Linked DNA regions of Drosophila melanogaster. The protein of the gene in region 1 interacts with the protein of each later gene in a pairwise test. Each region holds a gene or a part of one and is shown in the gene's direction. Other genes may lie near its edges.

The links. The genes of interacting proteins can lie anywhere in the genome.
Region 2: the proteins of Sobp (region 1) and so interact in a two-hybrid assay, tested with the Drosophila melanogaster proteins (2 studies listed by BioGRID).

Annotation. Positions count from the first base shown.
Region 1 is NT_033778.4:11,836,813-11,841,701, reverse strand, and holds the start of Sobp (sine oculis-binding protein), read left to right. Parts: upstream 1-1,876; 5' UTR 1,877-2,348; coding exon 2,349-2,430; intron 2,431-3,663; coding exon 3,664-3,806; intron 3,807-4,889.
Region 2 is NT_033778.4:7,417,555-7,422,400, forward strand, and holds the start of so (sine oculis), read left to right. Parts: upstream 1-1,795; 5' UTR 1,796-2,444; intron 2,445-4,846. UniProt on the Drosophila melanogaster protein: Required for visual system development. May transcriptionally regulate genes necessary for optic lobe invagination and Bolwig's nerve formation.

The DNA of each region.
Region 1 (4,889 bases):
CTTTATATTTTCTAGTTGAATTATTATTATTAGTTATTCTTTTAGTTTTCAAGTTATTCTGTCATTTTAAAAATTATTTGTAATTAGTCAAGAAAAATCATAACAAAAACAGCTGATGATAGTCAGATGTTAGAATTATAGAGAAGGACCGATTATTATTAAGCTTATACTGAACAATCGATATATTGATAGGCTTATACAAATGCGCTAAAATTTAAAATTCGAAAATTTAATAAAAATAAATAATAATTTATATACGTATAATCGAAGACTTTTTTATAGTGTCTGAACTTAATTTGTATATTCTTAAAAATAACTTTACCTTTCATTATTATAGTTTACTAACTTTCAATTAGTTTAATTGGTTTTCCTACATGAAATTAATGTTGTTTGTAGTACAATTCACCTGTTATTAAAGTGATCAATTATTATAGGGCAAAGGAAAACAATTTGTAGCGAAAGCCAACAGCAATTTATGTTAAAATCTCATTTCATCAACCGCCACTAATGAGTCAGTCGCAGAAATAAACTAAATTGTTGTAATGTCCTAACAAACTTATGTTTTTGCGCATTGATGCGGCGTGGGAACGAACGAAGTGACATCCAACACTAAATTTATCTGGCTCGTGTTCAAATCAAATTAAATTCTCGGCATTAAATGCCACATTTATCTACATGAGCACATTGTTTGATTGGCACGCCAGCTGCTCTGCCCCTGTTTCTTCTCTGATTGTGATGTTCTACTTAAACGATTCAATTGTTTCTTCGACCATTCCGTTTATTTACCATCAGGTACCAGACTCGCCAAGGGATTGGTACTATCTCCTGATAGTTGGTACTTGGCGTCGGCTAGTGGTAAGTTCTCCCCCAAGTACCGGGTTTCTTGATAGAATTGCCAACTGTTTTCCAAGCCAAGTGCCATGGTCACGTCTAGTGACCAATAACTCTGCTGGCCAGCAGTTGGGCCCTATGGAGAATGTGAATCAACCAGGTTAGATATTATATCTAATATATATTTCAGTGTTATTAGAAGTAGAGTCAAACCGTCTGTTTTTACGCGGAGAATATTTATATAAAAAAAACCATAAAAACTTAAAAAGATATTGTAAGTTAGAAATATTTTTAAAGTATCTTTAAGTTTACAATATATCTTAAAGTTTAAAGTTTACACTTTAAATTAGGTGGAAATATCCTACAAATTATACTTTACGTATTTCATATACTTTGAAATTTATTTAAGTTTAATTTTGGCATAGAATTTAGCCAATCGGATGATCAATATCGATTTAATTTATCCTCGGCACGCCATTTTCGACCTTTCTGGCTGTCAAAATGCATTTTCTCCTCGCGTTACTTAAGATGCTCCCCATTAATTTCCCACAGCCGTTTCTCTGATCTCTGACCAAGTGCGTTTGTCTCCGCCGGCGCACAAGTATTTTGTGCAAATTAAACAAAAATTGAACATAACATAAATATCCGATGCAGAACAAAACGAAGGCAGGTGAAGCGGTGAGATTTATTTTTAACTGCCCAATGCGCCTACATATAGCAAATTATGCAAAAGAATCTCGCGCTGCAGCCGAGTGCAATTTCGTTTTCGTTTTCATCTGCCAGAGATGCCAGCGTCTGCGCCGCTCTCTTGAGTCATTGCACTGCGAGAAAATACGCGTAAGTTATTGAAACTTTTTTGGGTAAGGAAAGATCATCAATTTGATATTGCATTTTTTTTAAAGTATATTTGTTAATTGAAAATAAGATAAATATGACACGCTGTTTAATTAAACTTTTCTTAAACCATCAAATCATATTAAAAAACCGTATGAATTCTGAAATTATCACTGCAAAATGAATAAATATTCTACTTCAAATTTTGCTAGCCTGTACAAACTTAGAAAAAACTCGTAGCAGATCTACGGTTATCTAAGTTATTGAAAGTATATAATTTTTCGCTGTGCGGCTGATGTTTTGGTCCCATTGGGGGTGGGCGCTACGTCATCACATCAGACCCACAGCTGCGCCACAACGATGACGAAGGAACGAAGGCAACAACACCGAGCCAGCGAGGCAGCGACTCAGCAGCAGAGAAGCAGCAAAAGCAGCAAAAGCAGCAGAGAAGCAGCAAAAGCAAGTAAAATCCACATGCCACCGGACGGCTGGCTCAAATGTTCATGAAACGCGAACGCGTGTGGACGTGGATGTGCGCGGTACCGCTTCGAAAAAAAAATTTGTGAACGCGAATCGGTATATTCGGTTTGGTCGGATTAAACGGTTGATTCGAAACGAATTCTCGGGCCGTGCATGTGTGAAAGTGAAAACTGAAGAAAGAGGAATGAAAATGAGCACGGTGCATGAGTTTCCTTGACGTTCGTTGCTTCGGAAAATCCATCGCAAGAAAACTGAAAAGAGCGTGCGAAAGCAGAAAGGCCAATTGTGAGTGAGAGCTGAAAAGCACACACGCCAAAAATATAATGTTGAAAATATCTGGCTATTTTTGGAATATATATTTGTTTCTTCCACACGATGCATTGAAAAATTTGTACCTCAAGTGAAGCAATACACAAAAAACCTCGAGAAATGATAATGCTTAAAAAATACGAGATATACGCTTTAACTTGACTTGCATTTTATTTTCGAAAAGCTTTCGAAAGCAAAACAAAGCCATCAGAAAAATAAGAGTACGAAAAAAAGAAGAACGAAATGAATCCAAGGCAAAAGAACAGCCAGAGTGAAATGTTTTTAATGGGCAATCAAAAATAATGAAATCGGGTAGATATATCTGGCAGAACGAGGCAAGAACGCATTTAAGATGAACAATGGAGATACATTTAATGAAATTTAAGGGACTCAATGAGGGATTGAATTCAGATCTATAGCTAAAACATTTCCGGAAATACCCATTGCTCAACTTTGGATACACAAAATATTCCCTTCAGATTCGGAATAGTTTCCTTCTAGGTGCACAGCTGAAAATGAAATATAGTTCTGTTTACATTCTTAAACTAAACTTTAAAGCTATGCAAACTCGTAATGGAAATGTGCTTTGAAATCCCGCCGCTTGAAACCACATCAATATAGCGATATATTTTTTTCTGTGTAACTACATTTTCGTCTTTTCTGTCTGATTTCCTCCGAAAGAACAACAAATACAGGCCACACTATGCATATATCCGCTGTGTTCTTGTTGTGCTGCCTTTATATTTTGTATTTGAATTTGTAGTCTTGTGTCATGCGATAGGTGGTAACGTTTCGTTCCGAACGGGGTATTGAATTACAAGACACCAAAGTGCGCGCCAAGCGAACACGCTCGCTCACAGATACTCACACACACGCACACACACGATAAACACACATGCAGAGCGAGGTGTATAAATATATCGCAGTCCGATTCTGCCGCATGCGTATCCAATGGATGCGAATCGGCCTGCAAAGCGGAGGGCACAAGGAAATATCCGAAAAAGAACTATGAATCGCTGTAATTAATTGTTTTGGGGGCAGAGCAGTTGGATCCATTGATTGATGGAGCCAAAGTTCATTTGTTTACAGTGGCAAGATCAATGACTCGGCGCCCTATTAATATGTACATCCCCCTCAAAAAAAAAAAAAGAAAACCAAAAAAGTATCTGGCTGGCTCCACTCTGACCCCTGGTCTCTCTTGTGTTCCAGTTTCACCCGAAAGTTATATACCGCATCCAGTTGAAATGTCCGCCAAGACGTCGCCATCGTCCACTTCTCGGGATGCCAACGTGGGATCCTCGAGTGCGATTCCCGTTCAGATCAAAAAAGAACTGCCCAGCGATGAGATAAAGGTGAGTGAATGTATGAATGAACACTTTGAGATACTTTCTTGCCGTCTAATTAATTGCCCCTGTCTGCGCATTATTTCGCCGCGTATTCAATAACAAGGATGCTGACAAAGTTTGCGTTGGATTTAAAAATAAGAACGTTCTTCTTTGCTCTTGGCAAAACATTTGGCTTCTATAGCTGCGAGCTGCATATACGCAGAATAATTATTATTTGTTTGTTTCCGAGTGTTTGGATGGGGGAAAGGTGAATAACACCCACTCGCCAGTTGCGCGTCTATATCTTGGAGTCTATATCTTAGAGTGGCTTTGAAGTGGATCTCGTATCTCGTAGTTGCCATGGAAATATCTATAAAAATGTGTGCTCATGATATACGTAACTACCTTTGCCGCAGAACACATATTTCCATTTCATCCTTAGCGAACGCAAAAATATTTAGTAAACTGCATGTTGCTCATACATAGTTTCCACTTACAAGCTCGAATCCAGCGATTCCAGCCAAAGAGCACTTCCAACTAAGCGCTGAAATCAAAGAATCCGACTCCAAATCCCTCGGCCAGAGAACCAAAAATCGTTTCGGCTTTCAGTTCAGCGCAGTTCAGTGCAGTTCAGTTCGTCTCAGTTGACTGTTGGGCTATTTGGAAATGTTTATGCAAGAGCCAATGATAATGCAACGCCCCGCTACCGCCCCCGCTCAAAAGTGCTACATTAAATTCCATGCAACTTTGTATCTGAATCCGCGTCCGGAATTTGAAAGAGGAGTTGCTAGCGGTCGCTGCAGCTGAGGAGACTCGGATTCAGATTCAGATTCGGATTCGGATTCCGATTGCCATTGTGATTACGCGATTACGGGACGAGCTCGTAAGTCGAGCGGGAGTTGGCGGTAATTTTATATTGATAAGTTTTTATAATCATTTTAACGAGTGAGCGGGTCCGATTCCGATTCGGAATCCATCCGCTCCTCTCTGTCCGCAGTCCCTTACGCTTCTGCTCCATCCGGCAAATGAGCGAAATTAATTTAATGCCACAGACAGGGACAGAGAGTCGCAGAGCAACATTTTTGCAGCACGTGTAACCCGATCGGCGAA
Region 2 (4,846 bases), 4.4 Mb from region 1:
AATTTTTTTAACACTTATTTTGGCTATCGGTGACTGTCGAGGCCTGGCGCCAAAACCTTATCGATCGCTGTAAACGATACTGAAATCGCCAGCGGTATGGATCTTCACTTGGCATCTGATCTGTGTGGGCAGTTGCCGATCTTGATTAGGTGCACCGGCCTGGCGCCCCATTAGTCCATCATCTTTGTTGGATTTCGATCGAGTTTCCCAGCTCCGTTTCCGAATTTGCATTTTGGGTGGTCCTCGATGCGATTTTCACGGCACACGCTGAGATCGAGCTACCGATAAATGGGACAGAATTTTAATAAAGAAGTGCTGAAAATAATACCATTTGTCTAAGCGGTTCCTCCAACAACAGGTACTTTGACTAATTTCTATACATTTAGCGTTACATTACATTAATTACATTAATTTACATTAATTACATTAATTACCATCTACAAAATTCACTAAGCAGTGTAGTACTCTGTGATTTAAGTTGACTATTTGTATTCAAAAAGAAAGTTAGGCATTCTGAACGCATCGCTGCACTTTGTACAGGTGTCTCTAGATCATGTTAATAGTTTGAAATTAAATTAGGTTCAAGTTATTTCAGTTATCATGAACAAGGACTTGAAGACGAAAGGAGCCTGTGTATATAGTAAATATTTAGTAAACTAAATATATTAGTAAATCATTAACACAATTAGTTGGCTTCAATTACCAAACGGCTTCATCTCCTTCGGAATCATTAAATAATACAATGCAAACCGCACTAATGTGGAAGGACCACAAGGTTGAGTTAAACCAAAAAAGTGGAGTGAATGAATATGAGAAAAGGCCAGTAATTGCAATTATACGAGAGATGCATGGAACTATTGCGGTGAGTAATTCAAACGGCATTGTAGGATGGCAGCTATTGCACCGGGCATCCTTTCAGCCAGGATGAGGAGTTCCTGGGGAGGAGCAGCGATGCAGTTGCAATCACCTCCGATTTCCGCCTTTCAATATGGCGCCCAATGCGCATGCCTTTTTGCTGGCATGCGTTTCCGCTGACCAATCAGCACGTTGCTGTCCTCCAGTGCGCCGGTGTGCGTGAGGGCATCTATGTGTGTGTGTGTGTGTGTGTGTGTGTGCGAACAGGTAAGCCGAGGGGGCGTTCTTTCGGTCAACCTGTTTATGCGCTCTCTCGCTCTTTCGCACGCTGCCCCTCTCGCAGTGGCTGTCAAACTGTTGTCGATTGGCACCGTGTGTCAAATTCAATGGCTACACGTTTATAAAAATATTTGTCCAATTAACTTAACTTAACTTAACTTAATTGTAAGCCACTTTAAAAATATATAAAACCATTTTCTAATGTTTTGAAGATACAATAGCATATAATAACGGAAAAATGTACTATGTCTTACTACGAAAACATTAGAATACAATAAAATAAAATAGAATAAAAATAAAAACACTTGTAAAGGCAAGATATTGAAAACAACTAAAACGTAGTGAATTCTGAGTTATCATCAGTTCATATATGTGTAATCATGAACTGTGTGTGCCCAGTGACTTTATAAAAGTCAGTGAATGTAAGTCTCGCTTCACTTGATTCCATTATTTTCCTATAACGTTTTTGGAAAGTGACGCACAAAGTGTCGGTGCATCCCACTGTGCAGTTCACCCCCTTGGTGTTCGCTCACTCACACACTCGCACGACCAGTCGGCCATCTCGCTCTGGCGCACGCACACCGCCAGCGGCACCAACCATTTTCTGCCTTTTGTCTCGGCCGTTTTCGGTTCGATTAGGTTTGAGAACCGGAGAGTTCTCAGTTGTTTTCGAGATTCCGTCGCGTGCGGTTCGCTGCCCGTTCTACCCACGTCGCTCGCTTAGTAATCCAGGCCGGATCCGGCGGTCTTTTGACGTCCCGCGCACAAAGTTATATTTAATTTGCGTGTTTCCTGAATGAACGCATCAGTATCGCGCCACATAAACGCACACGAAGCGAGAGAAAAGCGAGCAAAATTGAGCTAATCAATCCGCGGGCGGCCATTTTTTGTTGGCACTGCCTCAGTGCTGTCGTCGCAGCTTTGCCCACCAAATTTGCAGGTGCAATTTGTCCGAGTCGCGCAGGACAGCGAAGTTTTCGCGAAAAGTAATTTGCAACACGTGTTCGCACAGTGCGTATGAGCAATATTCAACGGCAAGCTTGTGTTAGTTAGTGCCCAGTGTGATCGCGACTAAGAGTGTGTGCGTGCGCGAACGGCACATGGCTTCGATTTGAAGAGTTTGGCCAAAATGCAAATCAAGGAAATGCCGCACAGCCGAAATCAGCGCCTTCTTGGCCAACTCTAACATTTGCGGATATAGCACAAGTCGAATCGGAAAGCCAAGGCAAAAGGCACAAACCCAAACAAAGAGTAACAAACAAAAACTAACAAACTCGGATACGTATCAACAATAAATAATCAAAATACAGGTGAGCAGCGAGATTCAGTTTTCATGCTGCCGACGGCAAAAGTTTACTGTGGAACACTAGAAACCATGGCAAAAATATATGTAGATGCATAAGTAGGACGGATATTCTTTCACAATAAGAAAAACGAATGGTATATGGGGGATTAATTTAAAATAAAATTGGCATTGATACTTGAAAAAGGAGATATAATAACTATGATAAATTTCGGGACGATTATGTGAATAAATATAGCTAATATTAGATTATACATTTCCATATTGGAACCTTAAAATTATAAAACCATAAATATATACAAAAGTTTCAGAAAAATAATAATTTCAATAGGTCAAACTAAGCCTTAGAAGAACTAACCACATGTTCAAGAAATCACTTATCACCTATAGATAAGATCATAGAACATAGACCTTTTATTAAACATCCCATACGGTTAAAATGGAACTTACAGCAAAGCGTTATTCTTGATTAGAAAAGCCTAAAGTTCTCTGAGAAAGTATCAATCACTTTGCCTATTTGAAGACTTCATTTAAAAATATATTTTAGTGCTTTAAATAGCCTTTAAAGCGTGTGCAGCGAAAACATTAATGCAGTCCATAAATGTCACGGCGTATCTCTATCCGCTTTCTAATGGATCAATCTATCATCGAAGTCCATAGATTCACAACGTTTTGCCGATTTCAATGAGGAGAGCTGAGAGCCAAAGTGCACTTCGCTTTTTGGCGGCGTGGCATTGGCGAATTCCAAATGGCCAAAAGCCATCGGAAAACCAACTCGAGGCACTTGAGAAGCAATTCTGAGGGAATCGAAACGAAGGCAAAAGCACGGGAATTGCATGTTCACTTATATTTGGAAAGGAAACTTGTTTACACACCAAAAGAAAAATTCTGTTGTTTTATTCACCGCTCAATTTTTTTCTAAGTTTTCCACGTTTCCAAGTTGGCTACTCAACGGCCCACCCACCTCAGATGTATTTATTAATTAGAGGAAAAGATATGAGATGGATTTGATCCAAAGGAAAAGTAGTTTCCAGTTGTCATTCATTCATCGCAAAGGCTTTCCAACCGTTTGGTGCTCGAAACCAACGCACACAGTGTTTATTTATGAAACCATTTGGCTTTATCATTTCGTTTCTCGCCACAAAATTTATGAAATTATTAACTATAGCGACTGTTTGGCCGACAACTTTTGTACTTCGTGTGAGGATGAGTGGGCGTGGACCCACTTTTGTCCGGCTAAATTCGATATTTGCGATATTCGGGGGATTGGGAGCGTTTAAACGAATTGGCCAACGCGTGTTTGTCGTCAGAAGTCGAATGATTAATTGAGTGCAGAGATGGGAGCAGATGTTGCGTACGGTTCTGGTTGCCTATTTCGGATCATCAAGATACCAGCCATGTGGATTCCATCTCGGAAGTGGCCAAATTGACAAATTTGCGCATTCCATTCGCCTAGATTCGGGACTCGGGCAGAAACAGATACAGATACGCAAGTTTGGCCGCAGCAGCTTTGATCATTTTACGCACCGGCGTGCAGAATCCGTCGTAATTTGGGGACGAGCTCCCCACCGGCGGGACTTTCGACCAGTGCACTTCAGTTTCATTCAAAGTTTGGCAAATGCGGCGCAGCAAGGCGAAAAGCAGCCGACATGCAGATGCAGATACATTCGGCTGCGGAGGCAGAGACACATGTGTGTGCAACCCATTAAATTGACAAATTTCATTCATTGCGCCGCGCTCTATTCGATTTCTTTGTGCGTAGCTCCCTCACGCGGCAATTAAACGGAAAATGTTAAAAATAGTATCTGGCGGATAGCAGCGATTGTCTCGACCGTTTGGCAGCAGCAGCGCTTACTAATCCCGACCAGCGGCCAGAAAGCCGTTCGAATTACCCGGAACGGGGGCTGGCCCACAACAGGTTGCATGGCACACGTCTTCCCAGTCCTCAATCCCCAATCCCCAATCCCCAATCCCCAGTCACAGTCTCAATCCCATTCCCATTCGATTACATTGTATAAACACAGACGCCGGAGCAGATGATTTCGGTGTTAGCCGCGAGAAACAGGCGCACTGTTTGTGCTTTTTGCGATTGCGATGGCACCATGCTCCAAGTTGAGCTGGGTGCTCCTCGAGCTGGGGCACACTTCACCTGCAGAGTTCCCGAAGTGCACTTAGGACTTAGGGCTTTGGAACTGCCCTGCGAGTTGAATCGAATCCATCAACAAGTCAATCGTAAGCTGACTTTGATTACAAACTAATTAGGCGAACAACGCTTGCAGCCACGGCAGCTCGAACAATTCAATTTGATTAACAGCCCAATAGAGTTAGGTGTCCGCTTTCAGATTTCCAGGGATTCCACGACATTCAAATTAAAATCTTATAAAAGTAGGAAGAAGCACAGGGGAAGGG